2 linked regions of the Mus musculus genome follow. Each later gene encodes a partner of the first gene's protein in a complex. Links are inferred from orthologs where the notes say so. Each region holds a gene or a part of one and is shown in the gene's direction. Other genes may lie near its edges.

What was found. The genes of interacting proteins can lie anywhere in the genome.
Region 2: Lsm4 (region 1) and Lsm3 share a complex: the UniProt entries of both Homo sapiens proteins name them as parts of the precatalytic spliceosome. The link is inferred for Mus musculus from reciprocal best matches to the Homo sapiens genes LSM4 and LSM3.

The regions. Positions count from the first base shown.
Region 1 is NC_000074.6:70,669,695-70,678,570, forward strand, and holds the start of Lsm4 (U6 snRNA-associated Sm-like protein LSm4), read left to right. Parts: upstream 1-3,536; 5' UTR 3,537-3,760; coding exon 3,761-3,763; intron 3,764-6,860; coding exon 6,861-6,902; intron 6,903-8,083; coding exon 8,084-8,182; intron 8,183-8,259; coding exon 8,260-8,440; intron 8,441-8,665; coding exon 8,666-8,757; 3' UTR 8,758-8,876. UniProt on the Homo sapiens protein: Plays a role in pre-mRNA splicing as component of the U4/U6-U5 tri-snRNP complex that is involved in spliceosome assembly, and as component of the precatalytic spliceosome (spliceosome B complex).
Region 2 is NC_000072.6:91,516,452-91,523,521, forward strand, and holds the end of Lsm3 (U6 snRNA-associated Sm-like protein LSm3), read left to right. Parts: intron 1-596; coding exon 597-707; intron 708-3,097; coding exon 3,098-3,193; intron 3,194-5,789; coding exon 5,790-5,870; 3' UTR 5,871-6,169; downstream 6,170-7,070. UniProt on the Homo sapiens protein: Plays a role in pre-mRNA splicing as component of the U4/U6-U5 tri-snRNP complex that is involved in spliceosome assembly, and as component of the precatalytic spliceosome (spliceosome B complex).

The DNA.
Region 1 (8,876 bases):
GTATTTTCAATAGCCACTAACCTTGCCTGGTACAGTCTGGGGGTTGTAAATTGGCATGGAAATTTTAAGCAGGTTCTTGGTACACAGCACAAATTTGTTATATATGGGGACAGTAGTTTATTTTTTGTTTTGTTTTCTTTTGTTTGTTTGTTTGTTTTGTTTTGGGGGGGTTGGTTTTTTGAGACAGGGTTTCTCTGTATAGCCCTGGCTGTCCTGGAACTCACTTTGTAGACCAGGCTGGCCTCGAACTCAGAAATCCACCTGCCTCTGCCTCCCAAGTGCTGGGATTAAAGGCATGTACCACCACGCCTGGCTTGGTTTTATCTTATTTTATTTATTTATTTATTTATTTTCGGGACAGGGTTTCTTTGTATAGCCCTGGCCTCCCGAGTGCTGGGATTAAAGGCGTGCGCCACCATGCCCGGCCTTTGGTTTTATTTTTGTTTTGTTTTTTCATCTTCAGATGTCTCTGATGCAGCTTATATGAAGTAATTGTTGTTCTGTTAACTGAAGACCACTCTAATTGCAAAAAAGAAAAATGCGGCTTTTTTGTTGACATTCTGAATGCTTCTAAGTAAATGCAATTTTTTAATTAAAAAAAAAATGCGTATGTAAAAAGTAAGGCACAGCCATCCATGAGTTGGCACTGAGGAGTCAGAGACGTTGAGGTGCCGGGAGCTCACTGGCCAGCCAGCCTAGCCAGAAAGGAAAGCTTCAGTTTAGGTAAGAGATGCTTCCTCAGCAAGCAAGGTGGAGAGGGATGGAGGAGCTGCTGTCGCATCTGGCCTCTGAAGGCCACAGGAGGCCACATGTACCCTCCCTCATACCTACATACAAGATACACAGTACTGCTGCAAAAGAGAACGTTAAAGAGTTAAAGAAGATAGAACTTCTTTTAACTCTGATACTTGTATGTCAGTTTTCTTATTTGTGTGAGTATGTGGGGTGCTGGGCTCCACTATGTTGGTAGCAGGGATCAAACACATGTCACCAGGCTTCCAGCAAGCTCCTCTGCCTGCTGAGCCATCTTGCAGGCTCAGCTGTTTGTTTTTCAAGACAAGAGTTTCTCTGTGTAGCTCTGGTTGTCCTGGAACTCACTCTGTAGACCAGGCTGGCCTCAAACTCATAGAGATCGGCCTGCCTCTGCCTCCAAAGTGCTGGGATTAAAGGTGTGAGCCACCACGCCCTGTGCCCAGTTGTTCTTTATCCACAGAGTTTGGAACCTGTCCCTATCTTTTTGGAAGAACAGACACACAAGTGCACCTTCCCAGTGTGCAGCAGCCGCCCAGGCCACACTTGGAAGCTCAGCACTGGTGCTGTATCACTTGCTGGGAGCTGTAGGCACACAGAATAGAGGTATGCAGCCTGTTTATTGAGGCTGCTGCTGCTGTGGGCCTCTCCCCTGGCCATCGTGTACACAGGCCCATTTGGCCAGTCAGAAAAGGCTCCTCTGATGGTGGCTGGAGTGCAGGAAGCCAGGTCGGAGGGATGTTTCTCCACTGTGGCAATGGCTTTATTTAATGTAGGGAGCTTTGACCCTTCACCTAGGTGACTTAAGTGACTTGTCACTGAGCAGTAGCACCTCAGGTTTCAAGGCTCCCGCCCCCGCCCCCACTCTGTGTGCAGAAGCATGGGCTAGCCAAGCCTCCCTTGAGGGCTGACGGCAACTTTGCTGGAACTCACCCAGTCTTGCTGCAGGGGTCCAAGTTCCCCGTCATGGGCTGCTTCTTCCCTAGGTATCTCAGATCCTCACATCACAAACCCTTTGGTCCCCATCTCAGAGCTGGATTCTGGGGTGACAGATACTCTCTAATCTTAGACATGAGGTCAGCAGACCCATTGACATATTTCTCTTTTCCTTATTAGTGACAGAGTAAAGTAGACCCGGCTGTTGTTGAACTGTCCATGAAGTGGAGGATGGTCTTGAACCTGTGCTTCTCCAGCAGTGCCTCCACAGTGCTGAGATAGTGCCCATTCTGCTCAGGCGCTGCTCCTCAGCACTTACTGCTTTACTTTATTGTTAGCGGTGGGGGTGGGGGCGGGAGCTCAGGGCTTCTATCCCTCCCGCTGAGCTGCAGTCTTAGTGCGGGAGTCTCACTCCATCACTTAGAAGAGCCCTGGGGAGTGTGCCAAGGGAGTCTCCCGGGTCAGAGGATCCCAACAAGTGAACTCATCGCTAACATTCTGTACCAGGGCCTTTCAGCAGCTTGGTCAAACAGCTGTCCTGCTTGGGACAGCTCAGGGTGGAGCTCTGATTCCATAACCAGTAGCCAAAGAAAATAAAAATAAATAGAAGGGCTAGGAGATGGCTCCATGGGTAAAAATGCTTCCTGATGAGAAGGCTAGGCTGACTTCATGACAAGCTTCAAACTGGCAGTTAAGGAGAGGTGGCCTAAATCTGTTTCCAAGAACTGGCCAATTCCAGACAAGTCCAGGCCTCAGAAGCTGCCCCACCACCTGGCCTGAGGCAAGGACAATGGGTAAGCAACAGTTTCCAGACCTCCCCAGTAAGTTTCCAGCCCCCGCAGCCCTGCCATGGAACGTCCATAGAGATGGACCTCACAGATTAACATAGAGGTCACCTGCCCCGGAATTTCCTAATGTGCTTTAAATCAAACCTCCAAGTTAACATGGGTGTCTATTTTGGTAATTCGAGACTCCAGCATGCTCAACTTCTGCATAATAAGACACTCTTTGAGTTTTCATACTATTTGAGTCCGGAATATCATTCTTTGGCACCCCTACTGGGCAAGCATGAGAACCTGAATTTGTAGCTCAAGAAGACACATTAAACCATGGTGGTGCACACCTGCAATCCCAGCACTCACTAGGATCTCTGGAAGGTCGATACCAGCCTGGTCTACATTGTGTGTTCAAGGCCAGCTAGGGATGTACAGAGAAACACTATGTTCCTCCCAAAATGATAATGATTTTTTTTAAAGCAAGGATTAAAGCTTGATGGCCCACAGTGGCCATCCAGCAGTGGAGAAGCCGAGTCGGGGTCTAATGCAAGTTCATGATCGGCTAGCTTCAGCTGCCACAGAAGCCCATCTCAAAACAGGAAAATCCCAGAGATTTGTTTTCACTTCCTGTCGCCAGGGAACGCCAGACCTGCCGTTCGTGTTCAAAGATTCTATTTGAGTTGGTAAAGACAAAGAGATCCATAAGGGCAAGAATGGAAGGCTAGAGCTGGGCAGTGGTGGCGCACGCCTTTAATCCCAGCACTTGGTGGGCAGAGGCAGGCGGATTTCTGAGTTCGAGGCCAGCCTGGTCTAGAGTGAGTTCCAGGAACAGCCAGAGCTACACAGAGAAGCAATGTCTCGAAAACAAAACAAAACAAAACAAAGAATGAAAGGCTAGGAGCGCAAAATAGGCACCGCGCGACTCGCATGCATTAGCCAGCTTCGCCCACAGTGTGGCGCCGAATTAGGCGCCGAACCAGATCCAGGAGAGCACCTCTGCGCAGGCGCCCTTTCCCAACATACACCCCGTAGTGGGCGTAACTTGTGCTGCGGCCTTTTGCGTCGTTCTAGTGTCGCACTTTACGGCTACCTCTCAATCCCACCGTAGAAATACGGTGAGGCCGTCCGTCTTGTTCCGTAGGTACCGCCCTAGCCCGTCCCGATTGGATAGATGTCCGTTGAGCTGCTCGCTGATTGGTCATAGTTTCTGCCAGTCTTTTTCAGTCTGGGGCGCGCGGTGGGCCGCCGGTGGGAGCGCGTGTGTCTGTGCCGCGGCGGAAGTTATCGCTGCAGGGAAGATGGTGAGGGCCGCGAGGCGGAGGGGCGCGCGCAGGGTCTTCGGGCTGCTGAGAGATGGGGGAAACTGAGGCCGGAGTGACCGGTGTCCCTCCAGGGCCCCAGACGGTCACCGTTGGGGATTTATCTCTTGATGGACACGGTTTTTGCGACCGGAAGAGGGACTATGATCGTTTCCGGGGCTTGTCACCGTCATTGATAGGAAAGCTGCGTTTCCGGGAAATGGGCGGGCTTAATGGCTCACGTGGGCTTCGTTGCCCTCTTGATGCTTATCTGGTGTCTGACCTCAGCTGCCCACGCCTTTGGCTGGAAATCCAGCTCAGAGAGCGGGTTGATTCTCTCCCTGGGACACACAGCATGTCTTGCTCAGGAAGAAAGGATTTTTTTTTTCTCCTAGTTTAGGCTCAGGCCTCCTCAGTTTGGGGACTCTTAGACCTGGCATAAACAAGTAAAGGAGGCCAGGTTTCCCCCTGCTCTGTCGAGGGGCGCGTTGGCCTAAGTGAGGAGAGCCACATATTCCCATCTCCCCAGTTCTTGATGGTAGGATATTTGGTTTGTTTTTTGGTTAGGCTTTCTGATCTGAACTGACATAATCCAGGCTAACCTCAAACTCCTGATCCTCTTGCTTCAGTCACTGGAGTATGGAAAGGACACGTGTATACTCCACATTTGAGTCAGGATGTGAGGCAGGGTCTCATATAGCCCAGGCTGCCTTTGAACTCCATTTGTATACATGCATCACTGTGAACTCCTGACCCTGCCTTTACTCCAGAATGACCCTGGGTTTTGTGGTGCAGGAACTCTAGGCCTAACACATGCTAGGTAAGCACTCCCCACTGGGTGTACCCTGAGCCTTCCTGAAGGGATGGCCAGGTGCGTCCAGGACTGGACACCCACCTCATGCAGGTGCGCACAGACACTCCCATATCTCTGCGGTCAGGCTGGTACAGGAGTGTCCCAGCTGAACATTCCTGAACTCAGAGCCCTAGACTTGGTTCTTTAGCTATCTCATCTACACACTGGATCCCAGAGAGTCTGGATGATGGCTGAGAAGGAATTTCCCTTCCTGGAACTGGCTCCTCTAATGGGAGGTGCTGGGACTGGATTCCAGAACGGGTGGCTATAACACCTGCAGCTGCTCTGTGTAAAGCTATGTCTCCTCCACTCAAAAGCCTGTGACTATCCCAGCTCCAGCCTCCCTGTCTGCCCTGGCCCATTTCACTCTGAGCTTTTTCTTCCTTCATTTTGGGGAGACATTCCTAATTACTTCTTTCATTCCTCTCTCCCACTGCACACACAGTAGGGGAGTGGGGGGTTGTGGTGGCCTGTCCCTACACCACACTTTTCTTACCTGTGGCACTGGACAGGATGCACCTGTGCTGGGTGTCCCCACCCCTGCGTGTTCAGCAAGTGTTTACTGCTCCTCCCTGCTGCAGCAGAGCCCACGCCCACACTGACCTTGTGTCTAGCCAGGGAGACTGATGCTAATCACCCATAATTAGAGAGCGGCTTCAGCTGCTGAGCTGGAAACAGGCTGGCAGCCTAGGGTGGCCATTAGGGTCCTGACCACAGGAGGGGACATGCTCAGCAGGATTGGGCAGAGAGTCTAGGGAAGGGCACCCTGGGTGGTGGCTGGGGCCCTGGCAGGAGGAACGAAAGTTGAGCAGTAAGGCTGGACCTTGCCATCGCTGCCTCCAGGCTGTGCTGGGCCATAGCAGTTCCGGAAGAGCTTTGTGTGCCTCTATTCTTGTTTAGCAATGTTTGCCCTTGAGCCCTTGCTGTGCCTTGTATTTGGGAGTTTGACTATTCTATTCCTTTATTGAAACAGGATCTCATGTAGCCCAGGTTAGCCTCACACTGTAGCCAAGGATAACCATGGCTCCAACTACCTGGAGCTTAGCCATAGGATGCTATACTGTGGCTCTTTTCTGCTGTTTATTTGAGGATCAGGGTGGACACCATTGTCACTGATCACCAAGGCCACCCACCCACCCACCAGCCATTTTCACAAAAGTCATCCTCTGCCTCCTACCCTTCCAGGAAGCCTCTGCAGGAAGTGGGCTAGAGCTTCACTTCCCTGCCACTAACTCCTCCCCGCCCCTCAGCTCTTCTTGGGAAGGGCCTTGTACTGTAGGCTCCCCCAGTCCTCTCATGACCCAAAGTCCCCATGCTGGGCATGATGGCCCTGAGGATCTGGGGCTCTTGTTGTTTGTTTCTTCTGTTTTTAAAATGATTTATTTTTATTTCATGTGTTTTGCCTGCATGCATGTGTCTGTGAGTGTGTTGGATCCCCCTGGAACAGGAGTTATAGATGTGTGAGCTACCATGTGGGTGCTGGGAATTGAACCCAGGTCATCCAGAAGAGCAGCCTGTGCTCTCACCTGCTGAGCCATGTCTCCAGCCCCTCGTGTAGTTGTTTGTTTGTTTCACTGTGTAACCCAGTTGGCCTGGAACTTATAGATAATTCACCTGCCTCTGCCTCTCAGTGCAGGGATTGAATGTGTGCACTGCATGCTTGGCTGTAATTTGATTTTTGTGTATTTTGAAGACAGGTCTAATGTAGTCCAGGCTGATCTCAGACTGTAGCTGAAAATAATCTAAAATTCCTTATCCCCCTGCCTCAGCCTCCCTGGCACTGGGATGACGGGTGTAGCACAACACACCTGGCTTTATGTTGGTCTTTATGATGCTGGCTCTGGAAGGCAAAGTGTCACTAGCCTTGCTGTCACCTTGACCTCAGCCCTGGGGCTCAGGCAACCCAAGTCACCTGTTCTGGAAGCACATGGACGGGATGTGAAGCAGGCTGGTGTGCAGTCCTGTGCATTTAGAAGGCTGTGGCCAGCCTGGGCTTATGACAAGATTCTGCCTCAGAAAAGCTACCTCCAGACAGAGGACTGTGCCCCGCTTCTGTGGTTCCAGGTGACAGAAATTGTGGAGAAATGACCAAAATGGTCCGGGAGGTCCAGGTGGCTCACATCTGTAGAATGGGATGATGTGAGGTTACCTGTGACCTGAAGACAGGCGAGTGCATTGGGGGTAGCCATGCCCATGTGGTCGTCCCTGAATTGAGGACTACACCTCACACTGACTTTTGCCTTCCAGCTTCCCTTGTCGCTGCTGAAGACAGCGCAGAATCACCCCATGGTAAGCACTCTGGGCCACCTCCCTTCATGTGCCCACAGCTCAGTCTTTTGCAGTTCATGATTGAAGGCCTGGCAAGATGTCTCAGTGGGTAAAGGTGCTTGCTGCCAAGCCGAAGGACCTGAGTTCAATCCCCAGGACCCATGTGATGATGGAGGGGTTCATGACTTCCCTGAAGTTGTTCTCTGCCCTGTCTGCACACAGACAGAATGGCAAATGCAATACAAAGGAAAACGTTCACAAAGAAATCTATAGCCGGGCATGGTGGTGCACGCCTTTAATCCCCGCACTTGGGAGGCAGAGGCAGGCGAATTTCTGAGTTCGAGGCCAGCCTGGTCTACAAAGTGAGTGCCAGGACAGCCAGGGCTACACAGAGAAACCCTGTCTCAAAAAAAAAAAAACCAAAAAAAAAAAAAATCTTTTAAAAGTAATGTCAAGAAGAAGCTGGGCACTGTGCAACTCATGCCCCTGATTCTGCCCTGAGAGTCACAGCATAGACCAGGTCCCCTGTCATCGCAGCTGCCTGGGAGGATGCAGCAGGAGGATTGCCACTGGTTGAAGCTTTTTTTTTTTTTTTTTGAAAAGGAGCAGCAGTGTGGCCGAATAGCCAAGGCATGGCCCAGCAAGCTGCAGGCCTGGGTTCCATCCGAGGTGCCACAGAAGGAGCCATGCCTCTGTGGTGTGTAGTGTGTTTATAGACTCCACACAGCCAGAGCCCAGCCTCTTCTCATTTCCCCTCAGCACCCACCTCGGGTCTACCCCAGCCCTGGTTGCCTGTGCACTGCTCCCACCTGACGTCTGCTCCTTTGCATTTTGTGAGCATTTCTGAGTGTGGCTTGTCTGTCACTCAGTGGTTTTGAGTCATTTTCTTGGCTGTGTTAACACTCCTTCTGTAGGTGACTAGACTGGGCTTGCCCATTGTTTCCTCACTATCCTCCTGCCTCAGCCGCCAGAGTTCTGGAATCACAGGTGTGTGCCACCATGCCCAGCTAGTGTGGAGTTTTAATTTGTCTTTGTCCATACATTGGGTGGGGAACCTGGGCGGTGCCTGCTTATCACAGCACCCACTTATGAGCTGAGCGGCAGCCAGCCCTTAGAGGTTGATCCCAAAGCACACCCAGAAAGCTGTAGTTTGGGATGGGAAGCCAGCTGTGTTTGAGCTAGGCTGATGGGCTCTCCCACAGCTGGTGGAGCTGAAGAATGGGGAGACCTACAACGGGCATCTGGTGAGCTGTGACAACTGGATGAACATCAACCTCCGGGAGGTGATCTGCACGTCGCGGGTGAGTGGTCATGCGGGGAGGGTGCACTGCTGGCCTGGATGGACTATGCCCACCTGTCACACTTCCCCTCTCCACAGGATGGTGACAAGTTCTGGAGGATGCCTGAGTGCTACATCCGTGGCAGCACCATCAAGTACCTGCGCATCCCTGATGAGATCATTGACATGGTGCGGGAGGAGGCCGCCAAGGGCCGAGGGCGAGGAGGACCGCAGCAGCAGAAGCAGCAGAAAGGCCGAGGCATGGGCGGCGCTGGCCGAGGTGGGGTCCCTGTGAGGATGAGGTGGGGGAGGGACACCTGGGCACTCGCCTCTCTGCACCCTCTTCAATCACATGTAGGGCATGGTGGTGTGGGCTCCTGTAGGCTGAGTACAACCTGGAATCTCCCACAGGACCCTTGCGCAGTGGACCAGGGCACAGAGGGGAAGACCCTTGTCCCTGTCTAGGGACGCTGGTGTCTAACTCTGCCTTTTCTGTTCTGTGCAGGTGTGTTTGGTGGCCGGGGCCGGGGTGGCATCCCAGGTGCAGGCCGAGGCCAGCCCGAGAAGAAGCCAGGGCGGCAGGCAGGCAAACAGTGATCACTCCCTGCCTGAGCCGAGCCCAGAACGGTGGGTGAGGCCTCAGGGCACCTTTGTGTGAAGCCCCACTTGGCGTCTGGTCCAGTGAAGTCCCTCGCTGGCCACTGACTCAGTTTCTG
Region 2 (7,070 bases), on another chromosome or scaffold:
TCTAGGAGATGGAGAAACTGCTAGAGATGGAGTATGAAGAAAACAAGCAAAGATCTGGTACACAGGCCAACAGAAGGGCCTACGGGCCTCTGCACCTACCCTTCCCTATTTCTTAGGTAGCTGGTGTACCTTGGCCACCAAAATGTCTTTCACACCCTCACATGCACACACAGCCCCTGCACACACACACACACACACACACACACACACACACACACACGTACGTACGTGCTACCCTACTGTGTTTCTCTCCAGAGCATGTTGTTTTAAATATGTATAGCCCCTGCACACACACACACACACACACACACACACACGTATGTACGTACGTACGTGCTACCCTACTGTGTTTCTCTCCAGAGCATGTTGTTTTAAATATGTATTTATTTAAAGTGTTTCTTCCACAACTAGAGTGTAAGTTCCTTAATGGGGATTTATTGGGGCTGGAGAGGTGGCTTGGCAGATAAGAGCGCTTGCTGATCTTGGAGACAACCCTGGTTGTGTACTAGCACCCACATGCTGCTCTCTCAGCTGACCAGTGATTGAAACACCACCCGGCCTCTGTATCCTATGAGTAAGCCTTTGCCTTTCCTCAGCAACAGACCACCAATACCGTAGAGGAGCCCCTGGATCTGATCAGGCTCAGCCTGGATGAGCGAATTTATGTGAAAATGAGAAATGACCGAGAGCTTCGAGGCAGACTACACGTAAGTCTGTTAAAACATCTCAGAGCCAGAGGCTGCATCCTACCTCCTTACAAATTAGAACTGCAGTGTAAACTTACTTTTTTGAATTTCTTTTGGGAATTGGAAAATCCTTCTATTCACTTTTAAAATATGTTTTCCTTAACCAGAATGGTTTTTTAGAGAGGGGTGGGACTCCGGTGAGACAGAACAAGGCATCTGATCCCCTGGAGCTAGAGTTACAGACTGTTGTGAGCTGCCTGATACGCTCAGGTCCTGTTCAGGAATCCAGTGCTCTTAGCTTGAGCATCTCTCCAACCATAGAGAACACTTTCGTTTCCTTCAGTTTTGTCTTCTGCTTATTTATGAATAAACTTGTTTGTTCTCTTGGGTTTAGACAAGGTCATACTAGAAAACCTGGCTAGCTTCAAACTCCAGCTCCCTCTGCCTCTCTCCTGAGAGCTGGGATTACAGACATGCTCTTCATTCTTGGCATTGTCCTGGATTTTTTAAAGTTATTGGATAGGGTATTTTAGCTTTTGACATATAAAGCTCTGTTTTGTCATGAAAAGAATTAAATAGCAGGCTAGAGATAGTTTGCCTAGCATGCGGCAAAGCCCCTACCCTAGCACTACCCAAAAAAAAAAAAACAAAAACAAAAACAACTTCATAGAAATGGGTAAAATTAAAGGCGAAGTTCCATTTTTCTCTATGTCTGACCACTGTTCAAAGTTGGCTGCATAGTCGTCTGCATGTGTATATGCCACCTGTGTCTGAAGGGGAGCCTAGTGAGGAACGGAGGCATGTGCCATGGTTCCAGTACTTAGAGGACCAAGGCAGGACGATCATATATTTGAGGCCAGTCTGGCCTACATAGTGAAACCTTGTCTCATATGTACACACTTTTTTCACATGTTTTTTGTGTGGAATAATTACACAGCTGACACAACGCCACAGGATACAGGATTCTGTGTCAGACTTCAGTCTCCCCCCCCCCCCCCAGCTATAAAGCTGCAATGGGTACTTTCACAGATATTGCTTGTGCACATTTATATGTCTGAGGAATTGGTCCCATCATTGTGTACTTAAGGTTTTGTCTCCTCTTGTTACTTCCCTCAGGGCTGTTTGTTTACAACAGGAATTGAAATAAGTCTTTTAGTTCAGGCTTAGAAATTAGAAACAACCCTCTACTGACAGTGACAGAGCCACTGTAGGGGACCAGGCCATCCCACTTCAGTCTCAGTCTTAGAAATTCATGTTCTTTCATGAAACCCAAGGATAAAGAATTGATCTACAAGCTGGCCTTGTGGGAACAGCAGTGTCAGTTTGGTGAGAAATGTGGGATGATGCTAAATTGCATGGCACTCTGGTGCACGGAATGATCCCCAGGCCAGACTGTGGCCTCTAACTTGGAGTTGTCTGCAGCTCTTACCTCTGCAGTAACGGCCCAGCTTTCTGTTTCCTCCCTGCTCTCCAGATGAGTTGCTCATTTGTGTAGCTGCCAAGCAGTTCCTTCCCAGTGTGGCTGTTAGGCTATTTTTAATCTTGATATGAGCAGGCAAAAGCGCTTAGCACTTTGTTAGAAGAACATGCAGTGGGTTCTGAACAAGCCCCAGGAGGTTTGCTGTTTAGTAAAAGGAATGAACTTTGGAGATTGCACTGAACACTGCGGTTGAAATCCTTCCTGATTGAGCCCACAGATGCCAAAGCACGTTAAATTCTGGATAAGTTATAAATGGGCAAAGTGGAGGTGGGACAGATGGTTGGTGGGTAAAGTGTAAGGACTAGAGTTTAGCTCCCCAGCACCTGTGGAAACACCAAAGCAAGCTGGCTAGCTAGACAGTCAGCAAGCTCTTATGTTCGACCGAGAGGCACCATCTTAACACATTATGTGGGGAGCAACTGAGGAAGGCATTCAGCTTCAACCTCTGGCATCCACACACATGTAAACATGTAGTACACATGTACACCACACACATACCCATGTCCACAAAAATGGGTCAAATTTTGCTGCACCTGTTTTGTTGTGAGCATCGAATGACAGTGTCCTTGCTTGAGAACCATGGTCCTATCACACAGCAAGTGACAGGACTTTATGCTGCTTAGTATCTCAAAAGAAGTCTGACAGAATTTGCTGTTTTTTCATAATAAACTATTGTGACTGGTGGGACCGCCTTGGGTAACAAGTGAAGGCGATGCTTAAGTGTTCTTGGGTTGCATTGAGTGGACTCACTTTTTATCATAAGCAGTATTGTCACTGGGAATGGCTTGTAAAGACATGATAGGCTAGCACAGAGGGTGTTTGTTATTTGCATGTAAAATTTTGGGTGTAAGTATTGAACCTGTTACTTAAAATCCACTTGTATCTTTTGAGCCATGTTACTTGTTTCTCATATCTCACCCTCCCACTTCAGGCTTATGATCAACATTTAAATATGATCCTGGGAGATGTAGAAGAAACTGTGACAACGATAGAGATTGATGAGGAGACATATGAAGAGATATATAAAGTGAGTCCTGCAAGTCTTTGCTTTGACAATGTCAGTTCTCAACATGCAACAGCTTAACACATATTTGTGGAAAGCCCATTATGTTCTGGCACCTACTTAGGAACGGTTAATAGATTGTATAACTAAAATGCAAGTGTTTTTGGAGTCACACAACCTGTTTTTAACACTGATCTTAAAGACAGCTGTATCACTAAAGCCTGCCCCAACATGGGTGACAGCTCACAAAGCTGGAACCTGGCACACACTGCACAGCCTAGAGGCAGCTCAAGAGTTTGACAGTGCCCTTTCCTGTCAGCTGAATTGGTCTGAGCCTTTGCCTCATGAGTGCTGGGATTAAAAGCTTGTGCCACCACACCAAGCCCACAAATGCAATAGTTTCTTTTCTTTTTAAATTTAAAATTTATGTGTCTGGATGTCTGTGTATGTCTGTGTACCATGTGCATGCCTGGTGTCCAAGGAGGCCAGAGGAGGTCATCAGATTCCTTGCAATTAGAGTTATAAACAGTCACGAGCCACCCTGTGAATGCTGGGAATTGAACCTGGGTTCTCAGGAAGAGTGGCCGATGCTCTTAACTGCTGAGCATCTCTTCATGGTCTCTACGAATGTGTCATGTGCCTTGACTACACACAGAGGCAGGACAGACTGGTGCTGTAGGTAGTATCTACAGTCCTTATCATGCAGCACTGTGGAGAACACGACATTGCTGCCTTATATCGCTCGTTACCTTTGAGATGGGAAACCAGACAGCAGCTTCCCCTTGGCCCGTTGTATGTTTTGCCCTCTCTCAGCTGACATAACTAATGAACAGGAACATTTCCAAAATAGGAAGGGGCCTACAGACCACTAGGATTCCCAGAGTTTTCCCCTCACGGTGTTTATGATTAACTCCTGAGTGACTGGATTGAGACCAACTAGCTAATAGGAAGACAGAAAGTGGTTGGCCCTGTTCTTTTGGTTCTCGGTCCACCACAGTTAGAGTATTGCTCTTGTTGATTGCTAAAGTGTTTTGGCTCTAGCCCACTTTTCCTGCTGTCCATCATGTTCATCCCCTTCCTTCACCATATAGCCCACAGTGTGGTTAACTGACAGGTTGCTCTTGGTGATGGCCTCTTTGTAGCAGAACCATCTTGACCTCATCCTAAAGCACCAGTCCTCACATAATTACAGACCTTTTGGAAACCAAGGAGACAGCGTCTCTCTCAGACCACCCTGATTAACCCTACCCTTCAGCAGCTGCATGGTCTTTGCCTGAGGACAGAGTGGTTTTAACTGAAAAGCTTATTCATCACAGCTTCTTTTGTACTTACATAGTTGGGCTTAAAAGCATCTGGCTTTGTTTCTTTTTGTCTTCCTGATAACTAGCCAGTTCTTGCCTGATCTCATTTTTGTACTGCCCTGTTGAATGTATCTGTCACACCAGAGCACTTACAAACATCTGGCTTTTTCCAGCCTTCGTCTCCACAGTCTATAGGCTCAGGAGGTTTTTGGCTCCAGGTTCTGCTAACATTTTACCAAGGCTTAGTGATGACTCCAGATGCACCATGTTTGCTGACTGCCCAAAGCCTGACCACTGAGCTAAAGCCTTGGAAATTGTGTTCCCCATTCGCACCCCCAGGAGTACAGAGAAGCAGGTGTGATGACTGGGCTCACTGGAGGCTGAGGCCTGGCCTACAGTCAGCATAGTGCTAAGTTGGGGACATTAAACTTCTACCCTCCTGTTCCTTGAGATCTCAGTGTACAGGGTCCATCCATTGGTAAACAGTGACTACCCATTGACACTCAAAGGAAGTCACTCTTGAAATCCATGGCTAAAATTCCGCCATAGCTGAGGATGTAACTCAGTAGTAACGCATTCGCTCAGAATGTGAAAGAATTCAATCCCCAGCACCCTCTCCCCCAGTCAGTTCAAAACCAGGCATAGTGGCAAACTCCTGCAGTCCCAGCACCTAGGCTGGAGAGGCGGCTCGGAGGCCAAGAGCACTTGCTGCTGCTTTTCTCCTTTTAATATGTGTTTTGGGACAGTCTTTACTTATAACACAGGCAGTTTTGAAATGTGCCATGTAGCTGAGTTGTACTTGAATTCATGGAGACCTGCCTGCCTTAGCCTTCTCCGTGCTAGCATTACAGTCATGAGCCATAATGTCTGACTTGTTTTTATTTTACATTTATCTAATTTTTATATGTATGTGTGCATCTGAGTTCATGTGTATCATGTACATACAAGAACCCAAGTGCCAGAAAAGTCACACACACACACACACACACACACACACACACACACACACACACACACAGTGAAAATAAATCTTAATAATAATCCAGCACTTGTGGTTGAGGTGTGAGAGGTATAGGAATTAGGAATTTCAGACTAACATGGGCTACACAGCAAGACGGACCCCATCTCAAAAAAATAACACAAAACCATCTACCTTGTGTCCGGGTCTGGTCACAAAGAAGCCTGGAAAGTGCACTCTAGCAGTGCACAGCGAGAGAAGAGTGGGTCTCGGTGCGCAGTGGTCCCTGCTGCGGTCACCCAGGAAACAGGCACTCAGACTGCTTACCCTGATCCTGCCTTTCCCTTTTGTTCTCCTCCAGTCCACAAAACGAAACATCCCTATGCTCTTCGTCCGGGGAGATGGCGTCGTTCTAGTCGCCCCTCCATTGAGAGTTGGCTGAGACAAAAGATGGATCCTGTGTAGGAAAGTGGAGACTTTGCCTCTTGAGATGTACAGGACACTCCCAGAGAGAGACGCTCACACGAATCCTGATAGTCAGAAATGACCCCAGGATCACTCTACCCTCGAAGAAGTTCATTTGCAAGCAACTCACAAGCTCTCCAGCTAAATGACCTGTCCCTTTCTCCAGCCCTCCAGTCAGTGTGACCGTCTTGCTCTTTTCAGGAGTTGGTTTGCCCATTGTTCTTGCAGTTACTTTCAGGTTGTTTTTCTTTAAATTAAATTTGATGTTTCCTTTTTTATTACTTTTTTTTTTAATGTGTCTTGTGGATTCTCAAGTTTTTACCTGGTGTGTTCAGTGTGTCTCCCATGTCTAGGGCATCGTGTTGGGTGTGAGGAAGGAGAGTGGCCAGTCTGCCCTGCCCTTATCTGAGGGAGTGCTGTTCTAGCAATTCTGGGGTGGGAGGCCATTGCAAATATCCTTACCTGTCTTAGGGGCCCCAAAAGCTCAGGTAGCACCCAGTAAGAACTAGACAAGGGAGGCACGTGACCCCAGCTGTCAACCTACTGGGTAAATGCAAAACATGACTTGTGTGACTCTGAAGAAACTGTCTTCCAGTCCTGGCTCATAGGCCGCCAGTGACAAGGACATGGGGAGTCTGAGCAGGAAGCAGTGAAAGCAAAGCTACTTCCATTCCGGCTTCAGCCAGCCTACGCTTCACATAGAATCACAAGAACACAGGGCCAACACTTGGTGGTTACCCTGTTGTGAAATAGAGAAAATAGAGCAAGGGCTGTGGCCCTCAGCCTGGATGTGTTAGGGCCGTGGTCCCCAGCACCACAAAAAGAAAACTGTAGACAAGCCACACTGGGGGACATGTCTATAAATGTGCTGAGTTCGCTAATCCAGTCAAGTGCAGTTTGCTCATGTGCTCTGAGCCGACATTGTGTTGAAGAGTCTCTGTTTTCATTATTGTACCTGTTCCTACAAGTTAGAGAAGAGAAAAACAAGTGTGGCTGAGCTGATAGAAGTTTGGTCTTCAGTGAGTAGGTGGGGCAGAACCCTCCCTTGGCCCTGACCACCCTGACACTGTCCTTAGGCTTTAGCTGTGCTGGGTGATGTCCTGTTCACTGTGGGAAACATAGGACTGGGGATTTTGACTGTGTCAAGTAGTCATTCCTTGAGATCCCCTTCCTGAGT